Mus musculus: one gene and its partners. The protein of the gene in region 3 interacts with the protein of the main gene of each other region in a pairwise test. Links are inferred from orthologs where the notes say so. Each region holds a gene or a part of one and is shown on either strand. Other genes may lie near its edges.

Evidence for each region.
Region 1: the proteins of Nme7 (region 3) and 1700094D03Rik interact in binary tests that used the Homo sapiens proteins (3 or more experiments, as listed by UniProt). The two-hybrid records come from large-scale screens. The link is inferred for Mus musculus from reciprocal best matches to the Homo sapiens genes NME7 and CFAP141.
Region 2: the proteins of Nme7 (region 3) and Syce1 interact in binary tests that used the Homo sapiens proteins (3 or more experiments, as listed by UniProt). The two-hybrid records come from large-scale screens. The link is inferred for Mus musculus from reciprocal best matches to the Homo sapiens genes NME7 and SYCE1.

Annotation. Positions count from the first base shown.
Region 1 is NC_000069.6:90,061,286-90,065,699, reverse strand, and holds the start of 1700094D03Rik (uncharacterized protein C1orf189 homolog), read right to left. Parts: upstream 2,893-4,414; 5' UTR 2,850-2,892; coding exon 2,817-2,849; exon of another isoform or gene 2,492-2,816; coding exon 2,451-2,491; exon of another isoform or gene 2,359-2,450; intron 1,276-2,358; coding exon 1,146-1,275; intron 191-1,145; coding exon 89-190; 3' UTR 1-88. Other genes in the region: 4933434E20Rik (protein C1orf43 homolog), read right to left, coding at 3,867-4,062. UniProt on the Homo sapiens protein: Microtubule inner protein (MIP) part of the dynein-decorated doublet microtubules (DMTs) in cilia axoneme, which is required for motile cilia beating.
Region 2 is NC_000073.6:140,777,754-140,781,400, reverse strand, and holds part of Syce1 (synaptonemal complex central element protein 1), read left to right. Parts: intron 1-466; coding exon 467-526; intron 527-869; coding exon 870-944; intron 945-1,470; coding exon 1,471-1,518; intron 1,519-1,752; coding exon 1,753-1,807; intron 1,808-1,974; coding exon 1,975-2,064; intron 2,065-2,272; coding exon 2,273-2,336; intron 2,337-2,824; coding exon 2,825-2,891; intron 2,892-2,968; coding exon 2,969-3,092; intron 3,093-3,155; coding exon 3,156-3,266; intron 3,267-3,402; coding exon 3,403-3,484; intron 3,485-3,647. UniProt on the Homo sapiens protein: Major component of the transverse central element of synaptonemal complexes (SCS), formed between homologous chromosomes during meiotic prophase. Requires SYCP1 in order to be incorporated into the central element.
Region 3 is NC_000067.6:164,331,556-164,335,202, reverse strand, and holds part of Nme7 (nucleoside diphosphate kinase 7), read right to left. Parts: intron 2,592-3,647; coding exon 2,425-2,591; intron 1-2,424. UniProt on the Homo sapiens protein: Possesses an intrinsic kinase activity. Displays 3'-5' exonuclease activity with a preference for single-stranded DNA. Does not seem to have nucleoside diphosphate kinase activity.

The DNA of each region.
Region 1 (4,414 bases), on a different chromosome or scaffold from region 3:
TCCAGGTGTGTTTTGGGAAGCTCAGGGTAAAGCATGAAGGCTTGCTTAGCAGGCGTGACGAGGTGGAAGAACAGTGTCTTGGCAGCTGTCAGAGTCTTTCCTCATAAAAAGCTTTGCCCATCTGATTGAGTTCCTGCTGGTACTGCTGATACTCCTTTTCAAACAGCTCGTGTAAGGCAGCTTGACGGACCTGGTAGGGAAGGCAATAAAGTGTTTGGTGTCGGCTCTTCAACACCTCTTCTCAGACTCTGGTTGCCTTTCCCATCCCTGTGTTCTGTTGCACCTGGACTTAGCTGGGACATAAAAGGAGGCAGTAGAAGAAAGTGTGAATCACTGGAGGGGAAGCCTACCTAATTTCCCTTCCCTTAGGCAGAGACTCATTGTTCAACAAATATTTTGCTGAGAATGCACCATGAACTAGAAAATCTGCTAGGTACTCAAGAAAATAAGAGTGACATCACAACTGTCCCCCAAGAGGAGAAACATCGGCTTAGGCTCTCACTGGATGAAAACAGTGAAGACTATGATGCACTGGGAATTGGAAATGTGTCACTTGCAGCTGGGGTGGGGGTTGGGGAGACACGCCTAGAATTCCAGTATATTCGAGGCTTGATGTCTGCAAGTTCCAGGCCATCCTGTGATGCAGAGCCAGACCTTGTCTTAAAAATAAATACATAAAATAAGACCCCTGGCTAGATGTAGTGATGCATTTTAATCCCAGCATGCAGGAGACAAGAGGCAGGTGGAGCTCTGAGTTCAGGGAGGCTAACCTGGCCTACTTAGCAAGTTCCAGGTCAGCTACGGCTGCAAAGTGAGATCCTGTTTCAAACTAAACCCAACCCAAAGAACCCAAGAAAACAAAGCTTTAATAACCCAAAGCTAAAAGAGCATCTCACCTGCAAATAATGAAAATGTAAAAATAATCACTTACTGAAAAAGAACTTTGACATGTGATGTTAATGTTCTGATAAAATAATGAAAAAGAATCTCAGAGGCAAATGATATGGTTAAGTCGAGAGAGAGAGAGAGAGAGAGAGAGAGAGAGAGAGAGAGAGAGAGAGAGAGAGAGAGGAATTTGATATCCTGGCTGGCAGGAACACAGAGCAGCAAAGGGGAAGACTCCAGGCTGCCCTCCTAGAACTCACCACTAGTAGCTGTTTGTTAGACAGTGCTAATTCCTGTTCCTTAGTATCCTTCATCCTTAGGGCAGCAAATAGGTTTCTCCGTTGGTCCAATGTTGTCTGCCACATACAGTGAATATGAAAATTCCGCCACCTGTCCCAGATGTAGGGGTGGGAATTAAACTGGTAAGTTAGTAGTAAGGATCCGCTGCTTTGAACTGACTTAGGATCTAGTGTGGACTGTTACTGAACTCTTACCATGAATAGAGTCAGATGCAGGTCAGCTGTTATAGTACACAGAGAAAGAAACTCACTTGTGTCACCTTGTTCTGGGTCTTACATCACTGTCCCCCTCCCCTGCCCTACCCCACCCTTTATTTTCAGACAGGGTTTCACTGTGTAGCCCTAGAACCACCTGCCTCTGCACCCAGAGTGCTGTGTTTAAGTCATTCACTACCACTGCCTAGCAACTAAAAAAAAAACAAAAACAAAAAAAACCCAAAAAACATTTTTATGTACCCAAACTGGGCTCCAACTCACATTGTAGCTAACCCAGAACTTCTGATGCCCATCTCTGTTGGAAAATAAATCCAAGTCCTGTGCAAGCTAGGCAAACAGTCTATAAGTGAGCTATCTGTGCCCTCCTTTAAAAGGCTTCTCACTATATAGTCCTGATTCTCTGGAATTATGTGGACCAGTCTGGGCACAAACTCAAGAGAGCCCCGTCTCTGCCCATAGTGTTGAAATTAAAGAACAAATACCACCAAACTGCGCCTCCCTTTGGGGTTGAGAGTCTATCAGTCACAAGTTAGTTTAGGCTGGCCTCAGATTCATGCTCATCCAAGCACCGAGATTATAGGTATGGGCCTCTCTGTGCTGCTTCTGCCAGCACTTAAAAAAAAAAAAAAAAGAGGAAGATTGGAGATACAGCTGGTGGTAGAATGCTTCCATGCACAAAGCCCTGGATTCAATATACCCCAGTGCCACAAACATCACAATGTTAGCAGGTGAAATCTGCAGTTCAACCTGCCAGGGACTGTCACTTGTTCACCAACTGTTGAAATACCTGATGTATAATTAGTACAAAGCCAGGTGAGGAACACAAGAACATTCAAAAAAAGAAAGGCAAAACAACAAACACTTGTGCCGTTTCTGCAGGGGATGGGAAGCAGGGGCAGAGAAAGACAAGGCTCATCTCCTCTCCCTGTTTTTCTCTCTGCTCTGTGTTTTCCTTCTTGAGGAGTCCTCACGGAGAGCAGATTTCGGTGGTGCCTCAGGGAGAGGAGAGCAGAAAATACAAACTGATGAGAGCAGATGAAAACAGATTACCTGTCGACAGTCTTCTTAAGTGCCACAGCTCTTTGCAAATTCTGCAAGAGAAGGGAGTTCTGTTGATCTCCTGGATTGCTAGAAGCATACCACTAGTACCCACTTTTTGAGGAATGAAGTAGTGAGCTTCATAGGGGCAAGTGGGAAAGCTCCACATCTTGAAATCAGACTGAAGAGAAAATACAGGAGCCAGAGGGACTTATGCAAACAGCCACTCTGTTCCACAAGCAGTTTCCCATATATTGCCAACTCTCCCTTATGCTTCCAAGGGTCTTTCTCGGGAATGGTGTACTTTGGGTAAAATAACCTGGAACCATATCAAAGAAAACTCCACCAACTCCCAACCCTCTTTCCGACCCTCCATACCTCTTCTAGTTTTGTCATTTTTTCTGCAGACATATCTACTACAGACATGCTTGCTAAGTTTGGGGACACTGGGAAGGCTCTCCTTTCTGTTTAGTTTGGTCACCAAGGTTTCAGTAGTCATAGCAACATTTAGGCGTCCAACAATGACCCTAGTCCTGGTAGTTGACTGGTTACTTGGGCCTGTTGCCCTAGTGACCTGAAGGGAATCCTGATTCTCCAGCTTTCTATTAGTGACAAGGCCAGGCTATAAGCATGAGCCACACAGTCCCTATTTTAGGATTTCTTCTGTTGGAATTTCAGACTATCAGTAGTTTAGATCCAGACACACAATCCAATCAGTTTCTGGAAGCGACACTCCACACCCTATGTCCTGTAAGGAAAATGTAAGCACACATCAAATGCCTGTTGCTCTAAAGACCACTCTAAAGAAATGATCCATGGTTTTACAGTAGTTAGTTTTATTAAGTACTTTGTAAACTGAGACTAATACGCTGACATCAGAGGATACCACTTTTTCACATTATCTCACCATCGTGGCATAGGTTATGCCAAGTGCCAGAATGCCCCTTTCTACTTGTCCTAAGGACTGGGTGAAGGTGGGGACAGATCCTTCCACTTTAGGAAAGTCATGTTCATGTCACAATACACCTGGTTTAAACGGAGCAACAAAATCCCAAAGGACATTCTACCCACTTTTGAGATGCTCTAAACCCAAATATTTCTATTCAGTTGAGTGCAATGGGGCAGACAGAGAAGACACCTCACCTCAACTTACATCCTTGGGATTAAACAGCATTTAACAGGGTAGGTGATTTACAGCCAAAATCAAGCGAAGATTTTCAAAGAAGCATCAACAGAAATGTTAAGAATGACATTTGAATTCAAATCCAGAAGAAGTGCTACTGGGAGATACTGAGGTCTTAGCCAATATCAGAAAGGGTTGGGAATGACCTTTTAGACACTGTTCTGTAAGAATGCTTTGGCCAATAAAGCCTGGGTCTGCTGAACCAGACATCCCGAGTGCTGCACGGCTGCACGTGTGCAGCCCCATCACAGAGTGCTCTCCAGTGTGTTATAGTTGTCCTTAAAGCTCTTCAGTTCCAGGAAGTGCTTAGGGCGTTTGCTCTTCTGACTGGAAGGCAGGTATGTGACCTGGATTGTTGTTGGTGACATTTCAGGTGACTGAGTTAGGTCTTTGGCTGCTGACTGGTGTTGTCTCTGAGAACTTCCAATTCGTGCTTTGACCCTGAAGAATATATAGCAGGCATGGACAGAGTGAGAACTAGCAGAAAAGGGGTTGGAGAGATGACTCCTTGGTTAATAACATATACCGCTCCTCCAGAGGACCAGAGTTCAAGTCCTGGCAACCACATGAAGTGTCTGTAATTCTAGCTCCAGGCCAGAACCTTTTTTTTTTTTTTTATTTTGGTTTTTCAAGACAGGGTTTCTCTGTATATAGTCCTGGCTGTCCTGGACTCACTTTGTAGACCAGGCTGGCCTCGAACTCAGAAATCATCCTGCCTCTGCCCCCTGAGTGCTGGGATTAAAGGCGTGCGCCACCACGCCCGGCTCAGGCCAGAACCTTTACACATGCTTAA
Region 2 (3,647 bases), on a different chromosome or scaffold from region 3:
TCTTCCCAAAGCACCGTCCCAGGTCTCCTTTGACTTCACAGCAGTCTGTTAGATCCAGAGGTTTTACCCATAACCTCTTCCACTTTACATCCTGCCACCTTCTACTTGATCATATGTATCCTGTTTCCTTCTCATTTCCTCCTCAGGGCACCCACTGCTTTACCCAGAGAGCCTGAGGGCCTGCCTTCCTTGATGGAAGCCCCCCAAGACACTTTCCCATATCTGAGAAGCACTTTTTGACCTTTGCCTATGGACCTCTCCCCTTGCTTCATTTCTCTTGACTGAAGTTCCTACAGCTTGGCTCAGTATCTCTATCGGTCTGTTCCTTGTCCCCACAATCCTAGATTGAGACCGTAATGTAGCACCTGTACACGTGAGATGCTTAGGAGATTTCTGTAAAGTAAAAGCTGTAGAATCCCAGGTTAGACACACTCTATCAATAATGAGCTTCCTTTTTGCTTTGCAGTGGGAAGCCTAGAGCCCCGGATTGAGGTCCTGATTAACCGTATTAATGAGGTTCAGCAAGGTGAGCTCAGTGATTGGCTGCCATCCAGGACCAGCTACAAGTTTTAACTGGCCAGGCCCAATAAAAAGTGGAAATACAGGGGTCCTTGTTAAAGTCTCTGTAGTTATTTCATGAGAGCATAAGTGCAGGGCCCTTCTGCCTGTAACCGCCATAGTCATTTGCCTGTGAACACAGCCCTGCTGCCACCCGAGCCTAGCAAGAAGGGCCAGGATTTAGAAAGCCTTGTTTCCTGCTTTGTAAAATCTGGGCCCCCTCTAAGTTTTCTTTGGGGGGAGAGTGTGAAATCTCCTCATTTGTCCTTGAGGCTGTACTTACCAAATGTCTGTCCTCCTCTTTGGTAAAGCAAAAAAGAAAGCCAGTGAGGAGCTTGGAGAGGCCCAGACTGTCTGGGACAACCTGCAGAAGGAACTGGACTTACGTAAGTTAACTGAGAGTCACTAGAGGTTTCTATGATGTCTTAGACTTCTAATGCAGTCCTGCAAACACCCGGGCCATGACTTCTCCTCCAACCTCATTTCTTCTAGCAGTCCCATCTTCTAACAGGAGGGCTGTGGAAATGCCTTTGAGGCCTGTTCTGCCCTGAGTCCTTTGCAGAGATGATCCTCCATGTATTGCCCTAGATAATACAAGTTATTGCCTCACACCAGCAGCTGTATATTATTAGAAATGTCTTTCTTAGTCATCTTGCATTACCTGATCACATAGCCCTTTTGATTGGTGTTGTTTTTCCTGGTCCCAGTGGTTGTTGTACATGGACATGGATATCTTTTGTGAAAATTAGGGCACATTGTGTTTACAGGAATGTGGATACCCGTAGGGGTAGGAACTTACCTCAAGGAAACTGCATCTGGGTTAGGGTCACAGTTATACTTGCCTCTCGTATGACTGCCCTTGACGTTTCTGTGTTTGGTCTCTAATGCCTGAACCTTCATCATCTTTTCTAGTACGTGAAGAGAAAGTACGTCTGAAGGATATTTTGAACAGAAAGGAAGGTATTCCCATATTACCCATTTCTAGGCTTTGTGATACCCTATCTAAGCCCACTCTCTCTAGTAGCTAGAAACTTAAGAACTCCCAACCTTGTGACATTCCTATGGCTTTTACCAGACCCAGAAAATGTCAAAATCCAATCAAGTGTCCACAGACTTGATGTGATATGTTTTTTTCTATTTGCCAAATTAGATGCCTTAGCAAGCACTCAGAGGGCACTGTTGTTATCCTTACAGAGACCCTGAGGATTATGCAGCTGCACTGCCAGGAGAAGGAAAGTGAGGCACAGAGGTAAGATGCCATGCCTGCAGTGGTTTCCCTAAGTGTTCCTGTTACCTCCCACACCATCTGCTCTGCTAGACACAGGCTTGAATACAGAGGAACAGAATAGAAGCCCCCAGCCCTCCCTCCAGGAGAGTCATTCAAAGAACATGGCTGAGTGTTGGTTTCTTTCCCAGGAAGCACAGCATGTTGCAGGAGTGTAAAGAGAGAATTTCTTTCCTGAACTCCCAGATCGACAAAGAGAAGGCCAAACTAAGAAAACTGAGGTAAACCTCAAGGTGTGAGGCTTGGGCTGGGGACGTGATATAGGTATAGTAATGCCCGGGATGGCCAGCCATAGTCCTGGATGGTCAAGGGGTGAAGCTATTCCTTGTGTAAGAGTGGACACGAAGTCCTTGGGTGCTATATAGACTCAGACCTTGGCCTAGCTCTGTGGTAGTTCATGGCCATCATGGCTCTGTGGTTGCCTCCTAGGTTGGATTTTGAAGAACATCTGGAGACTTTGATGAGTCAACATAAGGACACCTTGGAATTTCATGTGAGTCATACAACACTATGCTACCTATTATACTTTGTCCCTGTGCAAGCATTGGTTGGTGGTCCTGCTGTCATCGTAAATCCAGTCCCTGGTGACCACTCTTGAGATACTTGGTGTCTTCAGTATTGGTCCTTACCATTCACTCATGTTGCTGTGTCCATTCAGTGTTCTCTATGTCAGTGAGGAGGCCAGGAGGAGAGAAGAGAGGAAGAAACGCTAATACCTAAGTCTTCAGAGTGTCTCAGGATTGTAGGATTGCAGATTTTAGGGTTTCGAATACTTGCCCTAGAACCTCATTACAGGGTTAAAGGTCCGAGGAGAGGGAATGACGAGATCCATAAACCATAGCTGGCACACACCAAGGGGCAGGGTCCTCGGAAGTGAAACTTACTGAGAGGAGAAATGATGAGATGTAGACAGGCTTCTCTGAAGCTCAGGGGAGCCAGGAGATCTGGACATATCTTCTTGTTTGTGCCCCCCCACCCCAGAAGCCTGAACATCTGACAAAGGAGATGTGTGTTTTGGACAGCAGCAAGGAGCAGCTGCTCAAGGAAGGTGAGGTCAGGGCCAGAAGGGTGGCTCTCAGCTGCACCAACCTGCCCTTACCTTCTTATTACTCTTTCTCTCTGTAGAGAAACTGATGAAAGTAAAGCTGGAGGATGTGAGACAGCGGCTGTGTGCCCTGGGCGGGCCTGAGGGTTCTTCCAGCCTCATTGAGGGACTCTTCCTCCGAAGCCATGAGGCAGCTGCAGCAATGTAAGATGCAGGGTGGGGCAGGAGGAGGAAATGTCTAGCACTGACTTCTTTCCACACTATCAGGCAGATGTTCAAGGATGAGAACAAGAAAGCTGAGGAGTTCCTAGAGGCTGCAGCTCAGCAGCACGAGCAGCTGCAGCAGAGGTGCCACCAGCTACAGCAGAAACGGCAGAGGTAGGCACGGAGCTCCTGTGTCCTCATTTCTCCCAGGAAGGTGAATGGCAGCTGTTTCCCCTGTTCTGCCGGTATGTCTCTTCATATTTTCTTGATTTTTCTGCTTTCATTCTCGTCCTTCACGCTTCCCGGACAGGCTGAAGGAAGAACTGGAAAAGCATGGGGTACAGATCCTTGCTCATAGTACGCAAAACGAAGAAGACAGCTCATGGAGGATGGTAAATCCGGGAACAGAAGGGAAAGGAAAAAAGTGGTATTCTCCAGAGTATAGTCTGTGGAAAGGGCATTCCTCTGAGGAGGCACAGCTGAGGCAGAGGTGTAAACTCATGGTAGCATGGGCACAGAAAGGTAGAAAGGGGTGGTAGGAGCAGGGAAAAATGC
Region 3 (3,647 bases):
CATTTCATAGCAAGGGAAATCATTTTTCAGAAGAGAATCATTATTAAGTCCATTTTTGGTTTTGGTTTTTGGTTTTTCTTTAAAGCTTGCTTTTTAGCTGCATCTCCAATTGGTTCTGTTTCTTTCTAAACCAAAACTAAAGAAAATCAGGGTGGCAAGCAGTAAGGAAAGAATAATAAAAAGGTACATGTGGGGGTATCTGCATGTGTGCGAGAGAGTGTGCAGTGTGTGTGTGTGTGTGTGTGTGTGTGTGTGTGTGTGTGTGTGTGTGGTGCAGCTACTGGGAGGTCTTTAGGTCACAGCTTAGAAGGGCTGTTAGGACTGCAGACCCTTTTGTGCCCTGAGGTAAACAGCTTCCTCTACCACTCAATATCCTTCATAATGTGTTCTACTGCAGGGACCCAAAGCATTGAGCCAAAAAAGTCACGGAATGAAGGCTGCAAAACTCGGAGGTGAAATTAACCTTGCTCTTGCAATGCGTAAAGAGATTTGCTCAGGGATGCAGAAGACACGGAAATGAGTAAGACAGCAAGAGAAGAATCGTCCCCAGGTCCTATCCAGTCCCGAATTTCTGGGTTTTGGTATTTAAATTTATCTTAGTGGTTGCGCAGAGCAATGAGCTTCAGTGTTCCATTTTCATAATGTACCTCCTTGACCTTCACTCACAGACCGAGCTTACCCAGTCCCTTCCTCTGTCCCCTTTCAGATGAGGCTTCTGTCCCACCCTGCCCCAGGTCCTCCTGCAGGGATCTGCCCCAGTGGAGCAGTGCACTGCCCACTCCGTCCCACTGGGTTGTCCTTTTTGTTTGCCCACACATTATAGTTGACATAATTGTCTTTTAAAAATTTATTTTTAGCTAATATATAAAATAATGTGATTCATGGTGATATTTTTGTTATAGTCTGCTATTTTTCACACCCCACCGCCCTCCCTAATCCTGACTCACTTCTTGTTAGTCCCTTTCCCTTCACCCAGTAATCTGTTAGCTTTTATGACGTGTATATTTTATTACAATTTCTCACTCCCCAACTCCCCACTCTCTTTAAACTTCTTCCCTCCATGGTCCCCTTTCTATACTCTATCTATCTATCTATCTATCTATCTATCCATCCATCCATCAATCCACCCACCCACCTATCCATCTATCTATATTCCACATATTTAAAAAAAAAACCCACTTGATATCTTTCAGTAATCTGGCTTCTTTCACTTAATGTAATGATCTCCAGGTCTGTCCACTTCCTTGCAGATGTTAGAATTTCACTCTCTATAGCTGAATAAAATTCCCTGGAGCAAGCTACTTCTTGCTTTGTGATTTCTGATGTTCTGATCGCTCTCTCCTTGGGGCAGGGTCTATTCTCTGTTACCTTGCCTATCTCTTCTGTTAAATTGCCCTGAGGCAGCTTCTCATCATCATCTCACCCAAAGTTTCTAGAACTTCCATTCTTAACTTGAACTGTCTTTGATCTTTGTTATTTGGTTTTTTTGTTTTTTTGTTTTTTTGTCTTTTTTGTTTTTTTTGTTTTTTTGTTTTTTTTTTTTGAGACAGGGTCACATGTAACCCAAGCTGGCCCTTGACTCCCTCTGTAAACTAATATGATCTTGAACTTCTGATCTTTCTACCTCCACTTCCCACATGCTGGCATGACAGAAACGTGCCACCACCTCCAGTTTTACACGGGGCTAGGTCTCAGGCCTTTGGGCTTCATCTTTGCTAGACAAGCACTGCCCCAACTGAGCTGCTTCCTGGCATGCACTGCTGCATTTCTATTAATCACGTACACTCCTTACTTCTTCTGCATATCTACTGTTACCATAATAATTCAGATCATTGTTGTAGTAATTAAACTTTTATAAGTTTTAGCCCCCAACTTACACAAGCAGGATAGCAAATAGTTGTTCTAACTTAAGACAGGATTTCCCACCTTTGGATCTTTCTCTATACTCACTCCTTTGATTAGCATTTCTCCCCAGTTCATCTAATTGGGGTAATAATTTAATTCAGTTTTATCAAGACAGAACAAACCCACAAAGCCTTCAGTTTTGCAAGAACTAACTTCACCGTCTCCCGGGTTACCGTGATTCGTACCAGCATCATGCTTATGCTTAGGAAGAAAACCTTATGCTCAAATAGTCTTAGGTTTTAGTGACAAATATAAAAAGCAGATAGAATGTGTAAGAGCTTTATCTCTGCCACCCACCCATCCAAACAGTCACCTCCTAAGACTACAGATATTGCTTCAATATTCTAATTAGGAACCAATCCCTGAATCAGTACCAAAATATTTTTAATGTTATAAAATTATATTAGGTCGCTGGAAAAACTATGTTGTGAAAACATGACCGAGGAGAGGAAATCAGAAGTTAGTGGCCAAAGTCACAGGCAAGGTTTCAATGGAAAAAGATGGCCCGGCTGTTCTTACTTCTCTTTCCTGCTGCCCAGCTGGCGGGCTGTGTATTGGTCCCCATAGTCAATCAACACCAGCTGTCGAGAAAACACATTGACTTTGTTGCCTATAAATAGATCTTCCAGGCGCAGGTCCTCATACTTGGTCCGCTTTAAGAAGGTGCGACGATTCTTTACATCATGCTAGAAACAGACACAGTAAGAATACTTATGAAGAACGTACGCCTTACAGAGAAAAGTCTCCAATTGATTTTACAAAAGACAGCTATATCCTATTACTTTATAACTACGTATATAAATTATATTTTATACTGTGAAGCTTTATTTCCAATCCAATCTAGTGATAAAAGTTTGTAATTAAAATATATATTTTAGAATATCCTAAATAGACCAAGTTATTTCAGTAACTCACCAGCTATGAGTGACAGAGACAGATTCTCATATTTCTTTTTATGTACACATCCCAATCACTAAAAAAAATTGTATTTCCTTTAAGAGATGTGTATTCATGTGTGTCTCCCTTTCTGTGGGTAGGTACATGTGAGTGAAGGTGCAGAAGTCACTGTTGGCTTGCCAGCAGCTGGAGTTACAGTTGCTGTGAGCGGCTCGGTGTAGGTGCCGGGAACCAAACTTGGGACCTACAAGGGCAGCTAGCACCCTTAACTGAGCCTTCTCTCTAGGCTCCAACCCCAACTGAGCTGACTTTTTAAAGTGATTGCCAATGAAGTGATGCAAAGAAAGGGACCCTCTTAGAGCCTCTTTAATTTGACATTTTATACAGATACCAACTTTTAACCGTAATATTTATGACTATGATAACCATTTATCTGTAACTACTTATCAAATATTGATTAATCCCAAAAAACAGTTGTCCTACTTCATTTTGGGGTCTCTCTATATATCTACTTCTATATATGTGTGTTATATGCAAGTGTGCATCCCTACAAACATACATGATATAGGAGGTTGCCTGATGTCTTCTTCAGTCATTTCTCACATTATTGTCTTAACACAGGCTCTCTCACTGAACCTGAAGTTTGCTTTAAGTTGGGTCAGCTGGCCAGAGAGCTCCAGGGAGCTCCTGCCTCTGTTACTCAGGATTGGAGTTCTCACAGGGAACAAGGCCCAGCCATTATGTAGGTAGGTGCTTAAGAGTCAAGCTCAGGCCTTCACACTTTTGCAGCCAGTATTATTTCCAGCTAAGAGATCTCTCTAGGCCTGTTTGTTTGATTGGAGACA